2 linked regions of the Oryzias latipes genome follow. The protein of the gene in region 2 purifies or fractionates together with the protein of the main gene of each other region. This does not show direct contact. Links are inferred from orthologs where the notes say so. Each region holds a gene or a part of one and is shown on either strand. Other genes may lie near its edges.

Evidence for each region.
Region 1: the proteins of ccnd1 (region 2) and cdk5 purify together in Homo sapiens (co-immunoprecipitation; 4 studies listed by BioGRID and IntAct, counting the BioPlex papers as one, with this or other methods). This does not show direct contact. The link is inferred for Oryzias latipes from reciprocal best matches to the Homo sapiens genes CCND1 and CDK5.

The regions. Positions count from the first base shown.
Region 1 is NC_019875.2:27,781,766-27,791,816, reverse strand, and holds the start of cdk5 (cyclin-dependent-like kinase 5), read left to right. Parts: upstream 1-4,792; 5' UTR 4,793-4,956; coding exon 4,957-4,993; intron 4,994-5,282; coding exon 5,283-5,371; intron 5,372-5,442; coding exon 5,443-5,510; intron 5,511-5,609; coding exon 5,610-5,670; intron 5,671-5,740; coding exon 5,741-5,797; intron 5,798-5,891; coding exon 5,892-5,987; intron 5,988-6,134; coding exon 6,135-6,209; intron 6,210-7,446; coding exon 7,447-7,543; intron 7,544-8,221; coding exon 8,222-8,291; intron 8,292-8,413; coding exon 8,414-8,474; intron 8,475-8,562; coding exon 8,563-8,643; intron 8,644-8,855; coding exon 8,856-8,942; 3' UTR 8,943-10,051. Other genes in the region: abcb8 (ATP-binding cassette sub-family B member 8, mitochondrial), read left to right, coding at 165-198, 274-410, 497-591, 673-806, 898-1,045, 1,119-1,369, 3,512-3,595. UniProt on the Homo sapiens protein: Proline-directed serine/threonine-protein kinase essential for neuronal cell cycle arrest and differentiation and may be involved in apoptotic cell death in neuronal diseases by triggering abortive cell cycle re-entry. Interacts with D1 and D3-type G1 cyclins.
Region 2 is NC_019861.2:4,926,114-4,936,222, reverse strand, and holds ccnd1 (G1/S-specific cyclin-D1), read left to right. Parts: upstream 1-3,452; 5' UTR 3,453-3,765; coding exon 3,766-3,963; intron 3,964-5,115; coding exon 5,116-5,331; intron 5,332-5,875; coding exon 5,876-6,035; intron 6,036-6,762; coding exon 6,763-6,911; intron 6,912-7,019; coding exon 7,020-7,175; 3' UTR 7,176-9,695; downstream 9,696-10,109. UniProt on the Homo sapiens protein: Regulatory component of the cyclin D1-CDK4 (DC) complex that phosphorylates and inhibits members of the retinoblastoma (RB) protein family including RB1 and regulates the cell-cycle during G(1)/S transition.

The DNA.
Region 1 (10,051 bases), on a different chromosome or scaffold from region 2:
GAGAAGCTGAAAGGAAAAGAAGACGATTTTGGCTAAAAACAGCACAATCACAACTAAAAAGCCACTGGGAACACTTTGAAGATAGATCAAAAGATGATTGCAGTGGGTGTTTAGTTTGGTAAAGAAAGTGTTTTCACTATTGCATGCATTCTCTTTCTGCACAGGTCTTTGGCAAGCATCTCCATCCTTTTTGGACAGGTGAGTAGTAGTTCATCCCATGTAGACTTTAATAAAAACCAATATTTATTATTATAATTTTCTTATTAATTGCAGATGGTGAGAGGAATAAGCTCTGGGGCCCGGGTATTTGAATACCTTTCTCTGCAGCCCTCCATCCCCCTCTGTGGGGGAGGACGCATCCCACATCATTCTCTGATGGGAAGGGTGGACTTTATGAACATTTCATTCAGGTTAGAATCATCTTAGATAATGGAATCAAGATATTTAAATGCATTAACTTATATGAAATGTTTACCTGTTGTGTGTGTATTGAAAGTTATCCAACAAGACCTGGACATGAAGTCTTAAAGAAGTTTAACCTGATGCTGCCACCATCTAAGACCATCGCTATCGTTGGAGAATCTGGAGGAGGTGAATTTTTATTATTAGAATTTTTAATGTCTGACATATAAACATAGAAGCAATTAACCTTAAAAATATCATGTTTTTTAGGAAAGTCTACAGTAGCAGCCCTGCTGGAGCGCTTTTATGACCCATCCAGTGGTGTAATCATGCTGGATGGCCTCGATATTCGAACTCTCGACCTGTCTTGGCTCAGAGGGCAAGTCATTGGATTTATCAATCAGGTAAATGCTGGCACCCACTTTTTTTCATAACAAATGTTTTTAAGTTGATTGGTTTCCCATTTTCTTTATTCACTGCACTTTTTTCCCGTAGGAACCAGTTTTGTTTGGATCGTCCATCATGGAAAACATTCGTTTCGGGAAGCCAGAAGCCACCGATGCTGAAGTCATTGAAGCATCAAAGCAAGCCAACGCATACGGCTTCATTACAAGTTTCCCAGAAGGCTTCAACACCCTGGTTGGTACGTGATGGGAATCAATCTCACACGCTTATGCGATCACTGTCAAGTCTAAGCTCCGGGTTTCTGTCGTCAGGTGAGAGAGGCGCTACGCTATCGGGTGGGCAGAAACAACGCATCGCCATCGCCCGCGCGTTGATCAAAAACCCCAGCATCCTGGTACTGGATGAAGCCACCAGCGCTCTGGATGCAGAGTCAGAGAGAGTGGTGCAGGAGGCTCTGGACAGGGCCACAAGAGGTCGCACCGTGCTAATTATTGCCCACAGACTGAGCACAATCCAGCGGGCTGACCTTATCTGTGTTATGAGTAATGGACGCATTGTGGAGGTGAGGGATAATTATGCCAAATAAGTAAATTAGCCTTCTGTCTACTACAGCAGTGCATAGACTCTAAGACTTAGAGTAAGTCTTTTCGGATTAAGGTTCCTTTTATTGTGGGCTTCTGTTCATCAGAGCAGCTGGACTTCAAAGGCTCGTCTAAGTTGCTGTTGTTGCTATGCAGCATCTTTATGACTCAAGAACTCAGAATGACATATTTTAGATCATTTTAAGAATTGCATTCCTCTGAACAAAAACAAAGACTCCAAAATCCAAATACATCAGACCAGAAGGGAAATGTATTCTAATTTGAATCCTGCAAATGGTTGCCATAGTAACTTTGCCAATTAAGGCTAAATCCAAATTCAATGTTGTCGGAAATTTGAAAAAAACGTATTTCACTACGCTCTGCTTGGACAGGGCCACAAGAGGTCGCACTGTATATTTTGGGAGCGTTTGTTTGGAGGTATAAGTATATTGGAGGGCACATCTGAAATTCAGACATCAGACACTTATTCACTGTGCCCTTAATCTGAGAAATCAACAGTTTAGGACAGGGGTGGGCAAACCGCGGCCCGCGGGCTGGATCCGGCCCGCCTCAATGTTTGGTCCGGCCCACTGAACAATATCAGAGACCCATGTTTTTTGTTTTGTTTTTTTAATCTGGCCACACGATCAAGAACTGACATTTTAGTCCCCCCTTCTGCAGTCTGTGCTCCAATCTGAAACCCTCTAAAAGTCTCTGTCAAACAGAACAGAAGACAGTCTTCCCTTTCTACGTCGCAGTTCATCTTTCCCGGTTTAGCTCATTTTTTTTAGAGCGATCATGCTGCGTTTTTTAAACAGTGCACCCTGTTCTGTGTCCTGATTGGCTGGAGACCTTGTCATTCAATCTCCTCAGTCTCCTGTACAGAAAGGCGGAGCTCTTCAGATCAGAAATCTTTGATGATCTCATCTTTGTTTTCATTCTATGATCCTGGACCTAATTTCTATGAAAGTTTGAGAATTTAAACAAAAGACAAGGGTGAAAATGTTCATGTCTGTGTGAGAAAAGTGTAATTAGCAGTGAGGAGTTTTGATGCCATAAACGTCTGTAATCAGACTCCGTGGATTTCACCGATCACTGTTATTTTTAGAACTCCTGCAATAAACGAGGGAACTCTGTACTGGTGAAAAGGTAACACAGATATGCGTAGCTGCAGCAGAAGACAGAGACATTAGCTTTTTTCATTGTTACTGGATGAGAAACAGACGTGCAGGACACAGAACAGCTATGCAAACTGCTGAGCCTCAGCGCTCAAAGTCTTTATTAGGATTATGACGGGAGAGGATCCACTATTTATTGTTTAATGTTTTTTTTATGTATCAGTATATTTTTCCTGAATTTTTGTCTTTGAAAATCATAGAGTGTTATTTGGTTATTGTTTTATTTCATAAATAGTGTTATTTATTTTATTAAAAGCGCCATAAATGAATGAAACTTTATTCACACAGCACTTTACAACTCCTTGAAGATACCAAAGGGCTTCACAATAAAAAATAGAAAATAGGAACAAAGGTTTTAAACTAATAACTCTAGAATATTCTGTTGTAGAATATAATTTTCAATCCAAAAGTTTTCATCTACATTCCATGTTATATCATTCTCACTGCACACATCTGCTTGTGGTCCAGCCCTTCTATCGAATTTTAGAAACCAAAGTGGCCCGTGAGTTAAAATAATTGCCCACCCCTGGTTTAGGAGGTTTGTTTTTGAGGAACAGACTGATGAAAGTTATCAAAAATGTTTGCACATCAGACAGTTTTTTAGCTGCAACTTCCCCAAGACTGAGGTTGGATTGTTACATTGAATGCAAGTATAACTACTATTATTATTTATCAGGTTCCTGAGGATTATTCTAGTTAAAGGTGAAATTTAAGATAAAATAACATTTATGAGTAATTTAAAACTTATTAGAATAAGACATTAAAAAATATCCAACTAGCATTGGTTTACTGGACTGTTCAGCCAATTTTAATTCCACCTTGTATTGCTGTTGCTTCATCAGTAACATGCATGGCCTTTGTGATAATCAGCTGAGCACTGTTAAATTTTCTTTTTAGCTTCAATTTTTCATCTTATCCACAAACTATTTTTTAATTTTCTTTCAGGCCGGAACACACCTGGAACTGCTGAGCAAAGGAGGTATTTACTCCGATCTGATCCGCAGACAGAGAGCTGAGGAGAAGAAATGAAAACGGAAGAACTTTTTCTTTATGTAGATCAACTATAAACAGATTTAATAAATGCATTGGGGTAATTGAGGTGTAAATGTTTACTTTTTGTCTTTAGAAACCTAAGAAATCCCTCTTTGTGTTAAATCATAAATAGACCAACCTGTGTTAGTTAAGCTACAGCATTGTAAACATGTTACTTTTAACTAACGTGACAATAATTTATTTTTTTTCCCTTGTGAGAAGCTTCAATAACTGTGAAAACAATAAAAGTTGATTTGACTGAAAACAAGATTTTTCATTATCTTTTTTCTGAATTTTCTTAATTGACAACCATCCACTTAAGATAAATGACATAAAGCTCATATGAGCTTTTCTACTTATATTTACAAAGCCCTGCTAGTTTTTCTTATTTTGGACGATTTCTAATTTTAGTTATTCATTATTTTATTGAACCCACTTTGAGTTATTGTCTTTAACAGCCCATTTTATTAGGTCATTTCTTTTTTAATCTTGCAGCTGAAGTCTACATACTAGCATAAAAGCTTCATGTATTTGCTATCCTTACTCAAATTTATTACATGGATGATAAAATTGACCACATGTGACATAAACTGAACAAATCAGCACAAGGCTTGCAGCTGATGTGTTTGCAGTTTGACTTTTGATTTGGAAGGGTATTTTTTAAATTAATAATTGATACAAAAAGAAGATTATTGGAGTCAAATTTAAAAGCTGTTTTTAGCATTTTAATTAATTTAATTAATGTAGTACTACATTAATAGAGCAAAAGTTATTATTTTAACTTCACTTTATCGAATAATTTAAACAATATTCTTTAAAACAATAGTAAAAAATCCATTATTTTTTATTTGGTTGTGTGTTGTTTTGCATTTACTGAGATTTAAGGACTTCAAACTTTGTTCCCCCGTAAATACCTTAAGTGTTTCAATATATGCACATTCAAAATGACAAAATATTGGTCCATCCAGTCCATTTCTGTTGCATAATTAAAAGTAAAAGTCAATACATTTTTAATTATGCAATAGAAATGCTACCATACCAGTCACGGGAAATCACAAATCATTAAAAATAAATAAATAAATAAATAAATAAATAAATAAATAAATAAATAAATAAATAAATAAATAAATAAATAAAGGGGGTAGTGCTGCTGCACGTCAGAAAGCTGCAGCGCACCTCCAAGCCTCTAGATGGCCATCAGGCACAAAATTGCAGTAGGACTGTCTGCGAGCGAAGCAGCAAGTGTCGATAAAGGCTAACGGTTGGAGCTAACCTGTGTTTGTATCCACCCCAGTTTTGGGGTGTTAGTTCGATATTAGTTTTCTGGCTTTTTTTGGGCCGGTTTTATTTGCCAAAAGATGCAGAAATATGAAAAGCTTGAGAAAATAGGAGAGGGTAAGTTTATATTAAATCTTTAAAAAATAGCGCTAGCTAGTTTTAGCTAATGCTAGCAAGCATACCGATTTATGTTTTTAATATTCTGTTTTATAAAATCAATACTCTTACCATCATATACCTGAGAAAACATTTTTTTGCATGGATTTTAAACAAGTTATTGCTCCAAGATTTGTTATGTTTTAGCTTTAATGTTTTAAACATTGAAATAAATGAATAGTTACTTAGCTCTTTTGTCATTCGGAAACTTTACCAAATTAAAATGATCGAACTGTAATTTTCTTTGTAGGTACTTATGGGACTGTTTTCAAGGCTAAAAACAGAGAAACACACGAAATTGTGGCTTTAAAAAGAGTCAGACTAGACGATGACGATGAGGTTTGTAAACACAGTTGACAGATGTAGTTTTAGCAAGCTAAGTAACACTGACACAAATCATTCCTTTTCAGGGGGTTCCGAGTTCTGCTTTGAGGGAAATATGTCTTTTGAAGGAACTAAAGCATAAAAACATTGTCAGGTCAGTTCAATGTCAATATTATAGTTTTAATTAAACGGTGAATTACATCGTAGTATAAATAAGGACAGTAACCATCACGGCTTTTTCTGTTATCATCAGATTACACGATGTGTTGCACAGTGACAAGAAGTTAACCCTGGTCTTTGAGTATTGTGATCAGGTGAGTTACTACTTAAAGTACATTTCTCTGATCCCTTTCAAATCTAATGTGTATCACACATTTAATGCAGGATTTGAAGAAATATTTTGACAGCTGCAATGGAGATCTAGATCCTGAAACTGTGAAGGTTAGAGATAAATCTTCAGCTCTTTTGAGTTATAACATCCTGTAGTAACAATCTATATATGCTGAACCGTAAATACACATCTGTTTCTTTGCAGTCATTCATGTACCAGCTGTTGAAAGGTCTAGCTTTCTGTCACAGTCGAAATGTCCTTCATAGAGACCTGAAGCCTCAGAATCTCCTCATTAACAGAGTGAGTGTTTACTCATATTTGGATACTGATTTTACTACGGCATCTGTGTTCTACAGTAAATGAGTAGTTTGAGTATTTGTGTAATGTTAGTCTGTCTGAAGCAAATAAACGATAGTAATAATGGCTTTTTTTTCTCTGCTTGTGCAGAATGGAGAGTTGAAGCTTGCTGATTTTGGGCTGGCCCGAGCTTTTGGTATTCCAGTGAGGTGTTACTCTGCAGAGGTTGGTTGTATCTTATGGCACCAGAAGCTAATAAGTGACCACTTGTGGTAAAAATTGTAGGACTTGAATATGCAGATATTTTGGCTTCTTTTTTTTTAAAATTATTTGAAGAGTAAGGAGTTTTGTTCGAAGCAATTTGACTAATAATTTAACTATTAAGAAATAGCCAGGCAGGAATGGTTATGCTGAGGCTCTCTGTGGTTTAGTAAAATAACGGTCATGTTCTAAGATTGTCGTGGTGCCTTTAACACCGTCGGGTAACGCGAGTGGGCAGGAGGTAGAAAGGAGCGTGAACGCCCAAAAAAAACCTTTTTTTTTCTTAGACTAAAACCACCCATTTCTGCATAAAATTAATTAAATTTGCGTTAGGACACTCCTACTATCCTGTGAACTATCTGTTACAATGACCCTATGTAGACAGGAGTCTGCATCAAAGTGAATTTGTTTCCATCATCTCACTCATCTTAATTCTGGGTGTTTGACAGACAGAAGTCTATTCAAGGTTGTGTAAAATGGTCAAAAGATCAAAGGAAAGATAACGCTCATAAATAATTAAAATAAATAATTAAATAAATATCCTGACAGCATTTTGAATCAATACATGTATTGCCAAATGAACTATCGCAATATTTCGGCGAAACCATTTTTTTTCCAACCCCCCTTAGTGTTGCAGCTCCCTGTGCTTTCATTTCTGTGGGAAACTGACCCTAATGGCTCTTTGAGAGGTACATGTTTGCAGACCCCTGAGTTCGAGTTTTGGTTTTAGTTTTCTGCATCATTCAGTCTTACCAAAAATGAAATGAGAGCAAAGCAAGTCGTTTCGGTTAATGAAATTATATTTTTCAACTTATTTTATTTGTGAAATGGCCTTTAAGGACAGAGTTGTGTTTCAGTCACATCGTTTACATCTGCAATTAGGGTGGTTTTTGCACATTTTTAGCTGAAAAACAGCGACTTTTAAACAGCGCTCACTCTTTAAAATGCAGAAGATTTCAGTTGTTGCTTTATATTTAGTCCTTCTGCTGAACAGTGCCCTTTTGTCTGCAGTATTTGAACAAAATATGGGGGGGAAATGCCTGCATAAATATAATTAGTTCTGTAGAAGATGTGCTTGTTTTGTACTTACAACTGAATCTCATTTATGAATCCAGCTCAGAGGCACGGCGGCGCACAGAACCATGTCTGTAGTACTTTCCTTGTTTTTCAGTGCTTCTGAACTTCAGTGTAATTTTTGCAGGTGGTGACTTTGTGGTACCGACCTCCAGATGTGCTGTTTGGTGCTAAACTTTATTCTACCTCCATTGACATGTGGTCAGCTGGATGCATTTTTGCAGGTTAGTGTGTAATTTGTGACTTGATTTAAATAGGAGATAAATCTTAACTATATGCATTATAATAGATGTCTATTTCAAATCGGCTAGAACACGGATCATTTAAATCTGCCCGTGTCCAGAAAACATTTTGTGTTATTTTTTATTTTAAACTGACTGTCCCTTTAATAACAACCGGAATTGATTTGTTTTATTTTGCCTTAAAGGAGGAACGCTTTTCTCTCCAAATATGTATGCATTTCCTGAATTATGCCTGTTTACATCCTCTGTCCTCCACTGAATGTAAATGTATGCAATGTCTGGAATTGGGTTTTGCATAAGTAAATGATCATACTGCGGTGGTGAAAAAGACGTCAGCATCGAGCACATAAATATCAAACACAGGTTTTCTTGTACTCTAGTTGGGATATTGTCTTCTGCAATTAATGTAAATCTATAGGATCAACGTATCAGCTGTGTAGGATGGTTTACATTCAGCCTTGCTGCCAGCTACAAAGCATTTCATGTGTTGGAGATTCAAAAAAAGAAAGGAAAATGGTGGAGCCGTGGGCTTAAATATAGAAGCTCTGAACCTGGGATTAAAAGATGTGATCAGCTGTCTAGCACTTCCTGTTTTGTCTAACATATGATGCATTTTTAGAAACCAGATGAAACCTCATTGCTTATTCTGCCGTGTTTCAGAACTGGCAAACGCCGGGCGCCCTTTATTCCCAGGCAATGATGTCGACGACCAATTAAAAAGGATCTTCAGATATCCTTTCTTTTTTTCTTTCAATATTTTTACATGCACTGTCAGTAAAAAGCCAATTATTCCCATTGTATGATAATAATAATCTGCTTTGAGAAACATTCTTCTTTAAGTGTTTTTGATACATTGTTGGGTACACCAACGGAGGAGCAGTGGCCAACAATGACAAAACTTCCAGATTACAAGGTAAATTAATTCATCCAACTTTTATATCAATTTACTTTCTGAATCAACTGCTAACAATTTTCTTTTTTTTTGTTTGTTTTCTTGCCAGCCATATCCTATGTATCCAGCAACCACCTCACTGGTTAACGTGGTTCCAAAACTAAGTAATACAGGACGGGATTTACTACAGGTACTCCAAACGGGCCTCTTTTTTATATATTGAGTTATTATAGGGGGTTTCATTTTAATGTGATCTTTGAGGAGTTTACATGTTACGCTGTTTAAAATCCTGTACTTCACTTCACTCACTTGAGTTGACGTAGTGATACTTGGAATTTGTTTTGGGTTTTTTTCTAAGAATGTTTTTCGCTCATTAAAGTTTTTGTCTTTGATCTTATCCAGAATCTGTTGAAATGTAATCCTGTCCAGAGGATCTCTGCAGAGGAAGCCTTGCAGCACCCTTACTTTGCCGATTTCTGCCCACCATAAAGGCTGCGCTGCCCCCGCCGAGCTGGAGCTGCAAGAATGAATAAATAATCCTTCAACCTGTCTGGTAGTTAGGACTCATTCAAATAAGGCAAATCCCCCGACTGGCTTTCAAACGCTTCGCTTTTGCCTCTGTGTGAAGCAAAGCCTCAGTGGTACTTTATTTTTTATTTTTTTTTACATTGGAACCATTTTATACATGCTTCCTGATTTACAACATTAGATACATTCTATAGTCTTTAATTTATTTCTCTTTTTTCCCCCCTCCAAAATCAATTTAAGACCATAAAATAAAGAGAAAAATTGCAAGTTGCAGTGTTTACAGTTCACTTCATAACATGGTACCAGTTTGCCATGAGCTAAATTACTTTAAAACCTAAAGCATTGGCTTTTCAAATGAGGTGAACTCATTTTGAGTCCTCATGCAAAAGCAAAGAAATGAAACCCTGCAGGAAATGAGTCTGAAAAAACTGGATGTCATTGGAGATGTTTCGGACGAATCGGAACATTTTTTTTATTAAATACCTTCCTGTCCAGTAATTAACTAAGACAGCTACTTTTAATCGTTGTAGACGGCGGGTTTACACGACAGACAAATGTCAGTTAGTAACTGAAAAATGCTTCACCTTTTTGTTTAGGTTTAGAGCTTTTTTTCCTGTTATTTGGGTTTCATCAAAGCAAAACGGAACAAAAGACCTTCAGAGAAAATGTTTTGTTTCTGAAAACTGAAACTGCAACCAAATATTCGGCCTCTATTTATGAACACAGATTATTAAACCGCTTACACTACCCCCTTCATCCTTTTCTTTCATCTCTGATCCCAGTTTTCTTTATTCCCAGAAAAAGGAACTTTTCATTCTTTTGGTCTGGCTTTTGATTTTCCGTTTTGTATGGTTTTGGGGCACTTTGTCACAGAATAGACATGCTAAACGCTGGCAGTCCAGATTACAGCTAATCCTCAATAAAAAGCCTTTTATATATTTAAATGACCAATAGTGACACATTGCTTTTTTTTATCATGTTTATATGGTTTACTGGAATGCTTTTATAATTATAAATGGCAAAAAAAATCACTAGTTTTTATTTCCATGTTACACAACTGTCATAGTAAC
Region 2 (10,109 bases):
TTACTAAAGGACTGTAGACTTTACATGGCTTGTGCCTTAGTCACATGGCGCTGGTTTTTGGCTTGTCCGGACCCAACACTCCTCATTTTAAAAAGACTGTCTTGAAGTTCCCTTGAGACTCATGTGGCCACCTTGAGGGATGTTATGAAAATGGAATGTACCATTATCATGAAGTATTTGTGACCATAGAGTAAGCAGTTATTACATCTGGGTGATGTTGTAATGCAGTACATTACGCCACACTGTAATTGTTAGTAAGGGTCTGCAGGTGATTTATAAGTGGCAGTAAGACACTCGCAGCAAGACTGTGAAAGGTGAACTGAGGGACCACTGTACAATGAAATACTATTGTTTTCTGTCATTAAAGTCTACAACAGAGATAAGACTTCACCCAAGCAACTCAAAGGTATATCATGCAAACCAAAATGGTGTTTTGGTTGATACATATTTTGCTTACTTCAAATTGCTGTTAACTAATTGCTGTTTTCAAGTTGGTGGATTGGAACTTAGAAAACTGTGGTGCAAATGTATGAATCCTGCTCATCTTGGCTAGACATTGCGATCTGGCAGAGTATTAAGCATTGACTGTATATAAAGAGCCGGACAAAGTGACCCCCCCCCCTTGCATTCCAACTAGGAAGTACCTGCAGGCTCCAAGAAGCCAAAATCCCATAAACTTCTATAGAGAAATGAACAGCTGTTACTCAGTCATTCTATTGATCAGAATTACCATTCTTGCTCTGATACCTTTTTAAACACGTTTTTGATGGTCCACTTGGTTTTTCATAACATTTTGTCTTCATCGCAAGTTATTTATTTATAAACTGATCAATAAGATGCCTCAGTAAAAGCATGTGGAGCCTGCCTGCCCCCACCTTGAACGCTTGAGTGACAGATTCTCCTGAGCCCTCTTTCGATGGGTGTGGACTTTGAACAAGCACACTCATGATTGGCGACAGTAGTTGCCATAGATACGTAGCATCAGAACAACTCGGACCAATCACTGTTGTCTGGGTCCAACAAAGCAACGTCCGTCTTGGAGAAAACTGGTGATTGAATTAGGTAAGGCATTTTCAATGCAACATTAAATCCACTCAATCCAGTTCCTGTAAACAGTCAATGGTATTAAGTTCTGTGCAGGATTCACATGTGTTCAGACTTGTTAGTCAGATCTGGTAATGCACGGCATAAAAGCACACTGAGAGGTTCATAACATAAAGGAAAACCACAAAGTGGGATTGACACTGCCTCTGTCTTTGTTGGTTAACCCCAACTGTTAACCATAAGATGAATCATAAAACACAGTGCAGCTTTTAACAGCAAATTGTCCATGGTTACATATTTGTATAGTTTTGATTCACCACCTCAGATTCTGATGTTTAGATGTCATGAAGGAGATCTACTTCATAAAATACTCGACATGCTAAAGTACAAAAACACACATCAAACCATTAAAGATCAGTTGGTTGCACTGGAAGTTTATAAAAAACTGACATTGTAAAACATGTTTGTTTTCTGATCACATCCTGTTACATTTTTATTTATTCTTTAATATAATTATATCGAAAAAGCAACTCTTTTTTTTTACATCAGTAACACTTGTATTGCTAAAAATGAGCAAATGATCAATTTTGCCTCACCAGTTGTTGGCTCTATAAGTAAACACTATTGGGAATTGCAAAGTCCTTTATGTTTTTATACTGCTGCCTCACAACATGTGTTCCTGTGTGTTCCTGTGGGGTAGGAAGCATTCTGCCAGTTGGTTTTAGGCCAACTCCCCACTGTCCCTTTAAACGTCTGTGCCGTTACCATAAAGCAGATAGAAGAGGCTCATGCCAAAAGTCACATGCTCCAGCTCCCTTTGTCTCCCACAGTAAGCCCCTGTCTTTCTTTACATGAGAGGGGGCTGAAAGGACTCAAATGAGAAATGTTTGTGTGAAGGAAATGAGGGGAAAAGAGGGAGAATGCTTTTTGCTATTGAAAGCAGTGTTAACGGTTCATAACTGGTTACGAAATAACACAAAAGCAACAGATAAAGTTTAGAAAATGTCTTAAAAGTAACAACAGAGGGCACATTTAAAAGATATAAAGTTGTATTAGAATTGGATATTAAGGGGATTTTGTTTGTGAAATGGGGTCACACAAAAAAGCCTTTCCATTAAATTATTAAAAATAAATGTTTTGAATCAGAAAATTCTGTTGCTCACGTTCATCACCTTATTCCATCAGAACTTTTGCAGAGGTAAGATTCCGGTTTCAGACCAACAATGCATGAACTACAACATCAAAAGCCGGACACTCAAAAAGTAGACAACGTTTAGAATATTTAAAAATAAAGGAACAGACATAAACGTTGAGAGGATTTCTCAGTATATCCTGGGATCTGCTCTTTATTCCTGCACAGGTAAATGAGGATTGTTTTTTGTCACACAGCAACTTTCACTTCAGATGTTTAGTCCTTAAAAAGCAGGAGACTGGGAATGTGTTGATGTGACTTTAAGCTCTTCCAGCACATGGACCCCCTCTTCAGGCTTTACGGTAGTCAACCAAACGGCCCAAAGTGGAATTTCAGGAATGCAAAAAGCTCTGATTCATATTGAAACTGGATTAAAAAGTGCTCTGTTTGTACTTTTTACATTTTCGTTAAAGTGCCTAAATGTATAATAAAGGACAGAAAGAGGCTTGTTCTACCTGATTTACAACTTATAAGACTGAAGAGAAAAAAGAGCTTCTTTTTTTTTTTACCATAGTGAACTCAGCATCAGGAAGTTGTCCACAAACACAAAACTGCAATGTTGACTTGGAAGTTTGTGTGAAAGGACTTTGTGAGGGTTATCAGGGTCAACTTTTTCAGAGCAATGAACTTTTCCCTACATGAAAGTTACACCAACATCTGCCTAGTAACAGCAATTCCTCCCATTGGTGCGACTCTAGTCTCCTCCTGTCTGTCTGAACGTCTCACAGGAATCTTTTGAGGTAAAGTCAGCTCCTGTCACGTTTTCAACCGAGCTGAGATTCGCAACTTCCAGAAGTTAAAAGAAGATGCTGATCTGGTTGAAATGACCTGAATCTGTTTCATGTGTCTGAAGTGGGGATGCAGTGTGCACGCGCCCTGAACCTGGTTCCTCTCTGACTGCTTGGATTCCAACCCTGTTTGCTTTCAGCCACAACGGTTGGTGGGATCTCCTGAATGGAGCAAACGGCGTGTCCCTGTCCTTTCGTGGAAACCTCATGTTGTCGGTTTCATTCAATCCCAGGAAGACATATGGTGGGGTGGGGGTTCGGGGGGGTGTAGGATCGCCACCGCCCCCTACCGACCAAAGGATGGAAGCGTTCGCCGGTGGGCCGGACCTCCCACCTCTCCACCAGAGCCCTCCCCCCGCACATACATATGGACATAAAACAATCCCTTCCGCGCGCTCCCCAGCAGACTGCATGTGTCTTTGATACCCCCCGCCCTAACAACCGCTGACGTCACCGCGCGCATCCACCGTTTCTCACCACCTCTCCACTGTGCGCTCTGCAGATCAACTTTGTGTGCGCGCGTGTTCGTGGTCGCGCACGCAACGCGCGCACGGATCGGGGGTTTTGTCTTCGAGAGCAGAGAGGTCTGGCCCTCAGAGGGCTCGCGCGACCGAAGGGGCAGCAGCACGCGGCAGCAGAAGCCACGCGAGAAGAAAGGGCGCTGAAAGTTGGTGTGTGCAGCCTCCTGCCCGCGGGAACACGGCCCGGACCGCCGGCGGACTCCGCTCTCGTCCTGCTACCATGGAGGAGCAGCTGCTGTGCTGCGAGGTGGACTCCATCCGGAGAGCCCACCAGGACGTCAACCTGCTGAACGAGCGCGTCCTGCGGACCATGCTGAAGGCGGAGGAAAACTACCTGCCGGCGCCCAACTACTTCAAGTGTGTTCAGAAGGACATCGCTCCCAACATGAGGAAGATTCTGGCCACCTGGATGTTAGAGGTATCAGCTCTGTGCGTCTAAGCTGCCAGCTGTTCTGACCGGAACCGCAGGTCACGCCAAAGTTTGGAGCGCCTCGCTCACGCCGCTTAGTTTCTTCACGCGGCTTGCTGCTCGCGTGAGGGTTGGCCTCCCTTCGGCTTCGGCCGCGCGCCTCTGATCATCCGCCGACTTCATTCCCCGTCAGCTCTTTTCCATTTCAGCTGATGTTTCGGTCCAACGGGACGTTTTCAGCGAAACGTTCCCGGTGTACACGTATGCAGCCCGGTGCGTGCCAGTTTCTGATTACGCGCCATCTTTGTTGCGGTGTTTGCGGAGCTTCGGGATCTGATTTGAATGATGTCATTTTAACAGAAATAACGGGGAACGGGCCGGTAAAGCGCGGACTTTGACACGAGAAGAGAATAAAGTTTGAAGCGGGATCGAAAGCTGGAGTTTGTTCGGCCTCCGGAGGCGCAGCCACGGCCACGAACTTCACGCCAAAAAACGCAGATTCCTTCGAAAATCCAAAGCGCAGACGGACCGGATCCGTCGGATCTGATACTCAGAAGCATTTCAAACATTTACATCAACTTTCAGTTCAAAAGTCTTTAGGTTAAATATTTTTAATTAATTTTTGAAATGTGGCATCGGGCTGTGCGAGCAGCGGCTGCAGCACGTGAAGAATCTTCGCCTAAAAAATAAAAATAAAAACCAATTTGTTCTCCAAACAAGACAAATGACATTATCATCCGATCAGGCGCGCCTTCAGCTTCATGTATCTGCTAAAATAAGCAGCCTGCGATTTTTGTTAATATTTTAAAGTGTTTTTTGAAAAGATGACGAAGTTGAAATTGGAGTGAAAGTTGCGTCGACGCCACCTTTGTGTCTCCGTCAGAACTGACTGTAAACTCATTCCCGCTGCAGCTTTCACCTGCTTTTCCAGCCTTTTCTTGAGAGTTGGTCTGTAGGTTTTAACAATTTTTTTCCACGTATTTTAAAAGCCGAAAAATGAAAGATGCTTTAGTTTTTCTAAATTAGTTGGAGAGGATCATAGTGTGCAGGATGGAAGACAGACTGCTTACAGAAAGTGAAATCATTGTTCCATTTGAACAGAAAGAAATGTCTCCATGCCAGTGTCGGCCTCTAAAACACTTTATTTTCTTTTTCTTTTAGGTCTGTGAGGAACAGAAATGCGAGGAGGAGGTTTTTCCGTTGGCAATGAACTATTTGGACAGATTTTTATCAGTGGAGCCCACCAGGAAAAGCAGACTCCAGCTGCTTGGAGCTACATGCATGTTTCTGGCATCTAAGATGAAGGAGACGGTACCATTGACTGCAGAGAAACTCTGTATCTACACAGACAACTCGGTCCAACCTGGAGAACTGCTGGTAATTAAGTTCTTGCAGACATGATGTTGCGTAACAATGGGAGAACATGACCAGAATGCCTGAAGGCCGCGTTGGCTGGAGGCAGGGCTCGGTCTGGGTTGCTGGTGCGCCGAGGCTGCAACATGTCAAGCATGCAGTCATGCTACTGATGTACGTTGTGGTTGAAATGTGCATGGAAGTCTGCTGCAGCGTTTGAATGACTGCCTGCACTTTCCCATGGAGACTGGAAGGCCTCTGATTTCATCAATGGTCTTTGGTGGCGTCTGCTAATTTGCAGTGACACCTAGTGGCCGTCAGACAGATGTGCAGACAGTAGAAAGATGTATGCTAGAAAAAAAGAAAATGTCTTGTTCTGTCATTCACTTTGTTTAGGTAGAACATTACAGCCTATTTATGCATAAGAAGGATTCAATATTGACTGCTGGGTCAGCCCTGTCAATTTAGAAACTATCATTGATGGCATTTGATGGAAAATTACATAAAGAAAAACAAATGTTTGTCAACCACAAAATGAAGCATTGCGTCTTCTCTGGTCCTTCCACAGCAAATGGAGCTGCTGGTTCTCAGCAAGCTGAAATGGGATCTGGCTTCTGTCACACCTCATGACTTCATCGAGCACTTCCTGTCCAAGCTGACAATCCACGCATCGACAAAGCAGATCCTCAGGAAACACGCCCAGACCTTTGTGGCTCTCTGCGCTACAGGTACTAGCTCTTTGTTACATGTCTATTGGTTTCTGGGTTGTTGCAGTTTATTAAAACACCAATCACATTTATAGATATTTAACTGGTTAAGATTGAATTAGCCCTAATAGTTGCAAACCACCATGCCGTCAAACAGCGGTGGGAAGTACCAGTGAGCTATTTAGGAAGTCATCTTTTGGTCAGCAAGCCCCAGTCAGTCAAACCTGACCTCACACAAACACATCAGTCGCATTTCATTCACAGTTTCCACGCTTTAACAACTGGGGTCTGGGCTTTTTCAAAAGTTTTTAAAGGCAATCAGGCATGGTCGTTTTCTGTTTATTATTAATGTAACTTATGAAACTTTGACCTCTATATATATGTCTGTCTCATAAGTAATACAATATTCCAAAAATATTTCAAATCAAACCATTACCCAAGTCCTGATAAATGGTAGAACGGATGGACGGCTTCCTTTCAGAGTCCTGACAATGTGGCTGCAAACCAAATTGATTTGAGTCAGCTTAGAAAATACATTGATCAAACTGGAGGAACTCCTCCTCCCTGTAGTGGTCAGCAGTTTTTGCGTCACGGTTAACTTGCTGTTCCGGTCAGGTCTTTGGTATTCGAACCCACAGCATAGGATGGTGATGCTGAAAGAACAGAAACAAACGTGCAAACATACGATGTGACGGAAAACGGCTTGCAGATACCCGAACCAAATGTGAACGTTCTTCTGCCTCTACAGATGTGAACTTTATAGCCAGTCCTCCATCAATGGTGGCAGCCGGCAGTGTGGTGGCAGCTGTTCAAGGACTCTACTTGAAAAGCCAAGATGCCTCCTTGTCCTCTCAGAACCTGACTAACTTCCTGTCTCAGGTCATCCGCAGTGACCCGGTATGGAAAACCCCTCGCACTGTCTAACCTCTAACCCTGAAGAGGGCTCGTGTCTTTGCTGTTGCGCAGTGGCAGCACGTTTTTTTCTGACCAGTTGTTTGTTTGCAGGACTGTTTGCGGTCGTGTCAGGAGCAGATTGAGTCTCTGCTGGAGTCCAGCCTGCGGCAGGCGCAGCAGCATGGCAGCGTGACGGAAGCCAAGCGTGTGGATGAAGAGGTGGACCTGTCCTGCACGCCAACAGACGTGCGGGACATCAACATTTGAGATGGTCACCAGCATGTCCTAATCCCAGTGTTGGGAGAACTCTGTTGTTAGAAGATGGGCAAGCAAAGAAGGGGGGGCCTGATTACTGCCTCCCCTCCTCTCTTCCTCGGTTGCCTGGTGCGCAGCTGCTTCAACGGATGTCACTCACTTGTCCACCACGACTGCCAAGGCAAGGTGGCGCACCCTTCTTGCCATGCAGCGCACCTCCCACCACATTCCTTGCCAGTGTCCCCTCCAATCCTGGACATAGACCAGAACACTAGACATGGACAAGTGAGAAACGCGCACCGGTGACCCGTGTGGGCAGGAGTCAGAGCCACACAAACTGATTCTTTTGGTTCTTATCCTCCATTTCAAACTAGGAATCTTTTAAATTGCTGTGGACTGATGATGACTACTTAAGGATCCCAAAGTGTGGTGTTCAGTAGGCCTTCACAGTCTGTCCACCTGAAACCCAACATTTATCAAAGCAAAGATGCTGTTTTGAACCAGTTTCTTTTGTTTAGAATGAGTTAGGCTTTTTCTAAGTCCCCGTGTTTGTCTTGTAGTTCAGGCATCCATTTACCCCATGCTTGTTTATGTTTAGTCACTTTATTATATTATTTAGCCTTATACCTCTTTTGTTCTAAGCTTTTGGGTAGTTTTTAAAACCCGTCTGTGAGTGAAGTTGTGTTTTTGTCTGCTGCTGGTGTGGACAAACGCTAGTCTTTCTTGATGATTCATTTGACCCGTTTCCGCTTGCAGCAATTGATCAAATCAAGTCAGTGCTAATGCGAGCAGAGCTGTCCAGACTCTGATGGTTTCTTCTTTTGTGTAGTTAGATCTAATACCATTCCAATGTATTGTTTTCAAGAAAGAAGCACTTTTGGTCAGCCGTGCTGGCTCAACTGAAAGAAAAATCGTGGTGGTAGAGTTTGCAATGGAACCCGAGGTTGGTGATGCAGTGGTCGAGCAGCTGGTTCAGATTCATCAGATGGGACAAAGAATTGACCAGTGTTGCAGATAGACTTGTTTTTATGTCTGGGAAAGGCCCGTCATAGCAGCCTTCCTGTCCTGCTAGTTTCACTTGTGCAGTGTTAGTTCAGGCAGAGCCGCCCTGAGCTTTTCACAGGTTCACTACAACTGCAAGCATGTAGAGCCAAAGGCTAAATCTGAGGAGGTAAAAGGATTATTTTTATAGCTAAAGTAATGCTTTATATTCCATATCGTAAAACCTATTTATTTTTACAACTTTCAATTGTGGCTCCGCCCACTTGTGCAGATGTTTGCCAATGAAATGCTGTAAAACCGTAAGCTTGAGTTGACCTGAACCACCAGGACGGCATCCCTCCATACTCCTCCTCACTTCAAATACTGCTCATGGATTATGAAAAATGGATCAAGTTGAAGAAAGGGGAGCGATGAGAATATGAGATGATTTTTGCACAAACCTTAAGGACGTGGGCGGGGCTTCTCTTGGACTTGCCTCAAAAACTGGTGGAGAGTATAGTGGGCAACAGTTTGAAGTGTCAAAAATGAAACAAAGAGGAGAAAGGCTCATCAGAAACTGCTTTAGAGTGGTTGGGGCTTCGTCCCATAAAGAGGAGGCATTTCTGCTCAGATGGACATTCACTTTATAAGGAATGAGGCGGAGTCTGAGTGTAGGATCCTTTTAAAGTAGGTTTCTGATTCTACAGTAAGGATAGAACGTAGGAGAGAAACACTCCTTGTATTTTGCTGCTATAGAAGATACATTTGAGCTTTGTGTTTAAAGACAAAAATAAAAATACAAAAAACAGATATGAAATGAAAACAATGCTTTTTTTTCTGTTGTTTGCTGCTATTTTTTATATGTATAAATGTACTGCCATTCTAGGTCTGAATTTTCTAATAGGAAGTTGTTGATGTCACCATTTGTTCTGTGTAGACTATGTGATCTTTTGGTTGTAATTATCTAATGTGATTTTTTTTTTTTTCCAAACTATTCCAAATACAAGGACGAATTGACAATGTACAGTAATGCTTTGATTCACAATACCTCATGTGACAGTCATGATCTCTGATTTTTAGTTGTGTGTGTGTGTGTGTGTGTGTGTGCGTGTTTCATTGTGCTCGCTGGTTCAGTGCTTGCCAGCTTTGACCTTTTGTAGGTGAAGCATCTGCGATGGAAACCAGCGTGTCCAGGCCGTGCGTTGTAACTGGTGCCATAACAGAAAATGGGATGTGTATAACTCTGTTGAGTGTTAAGCTGTCTCGATAAAAGAGACTTTATCCCCCCATTAGGCCCATAATGGCCTCTCTTCCTTCCCCCTTTTTATATTTATAAAGAGAAAAAAAAAAACCTGCTCCAATTTTTCAAACTTCCAGTGAGTCGATTTGAGTTTGTAAATACATTCAGTCTCATCCTCGGTAAGCCATAGATCATCCTTGTGCTGTGTTCACGGATCATTCCAAACCGATTGTTTTCATGTCAGCTGTCTGCACCCAGGATAATGTATTCATTTTTGTGTTGACGACACAATAAAAACATGAACTAGGAAAGCTGGCCACCATTTGTTGCCTGAAACCTTCACACACCCAAACCACTCATCTCCAAGCTCACATCTTTGACTGACACTTTCTGGATTAAATAGAATCAGTGCTTCACTTGAGTTTAAACAGTGCAAATGTAACCCTTGTGCTATCCTAGGCACTTTAAGATTGGGAGTTGGGTCATCTAGACCCACTAGACAGTGCTCTGAACCTTTTTTCTTCAATGATTTGTGATCTTCACTGGTGTCCATGGATTACATGAAATCTTTCCACCTTTATCCACCTTTGTCATGGTAGGGAGAACACGTCAATGGAAGGGGGGGGTCATCTAAGATAGCACAAGGGTTAAGCATGTTTTAGAATGAAAGGTTGTGATAAAACGGACCTCCATTAGACCGAATAGACCTAAGTTTGGAGGTTGAT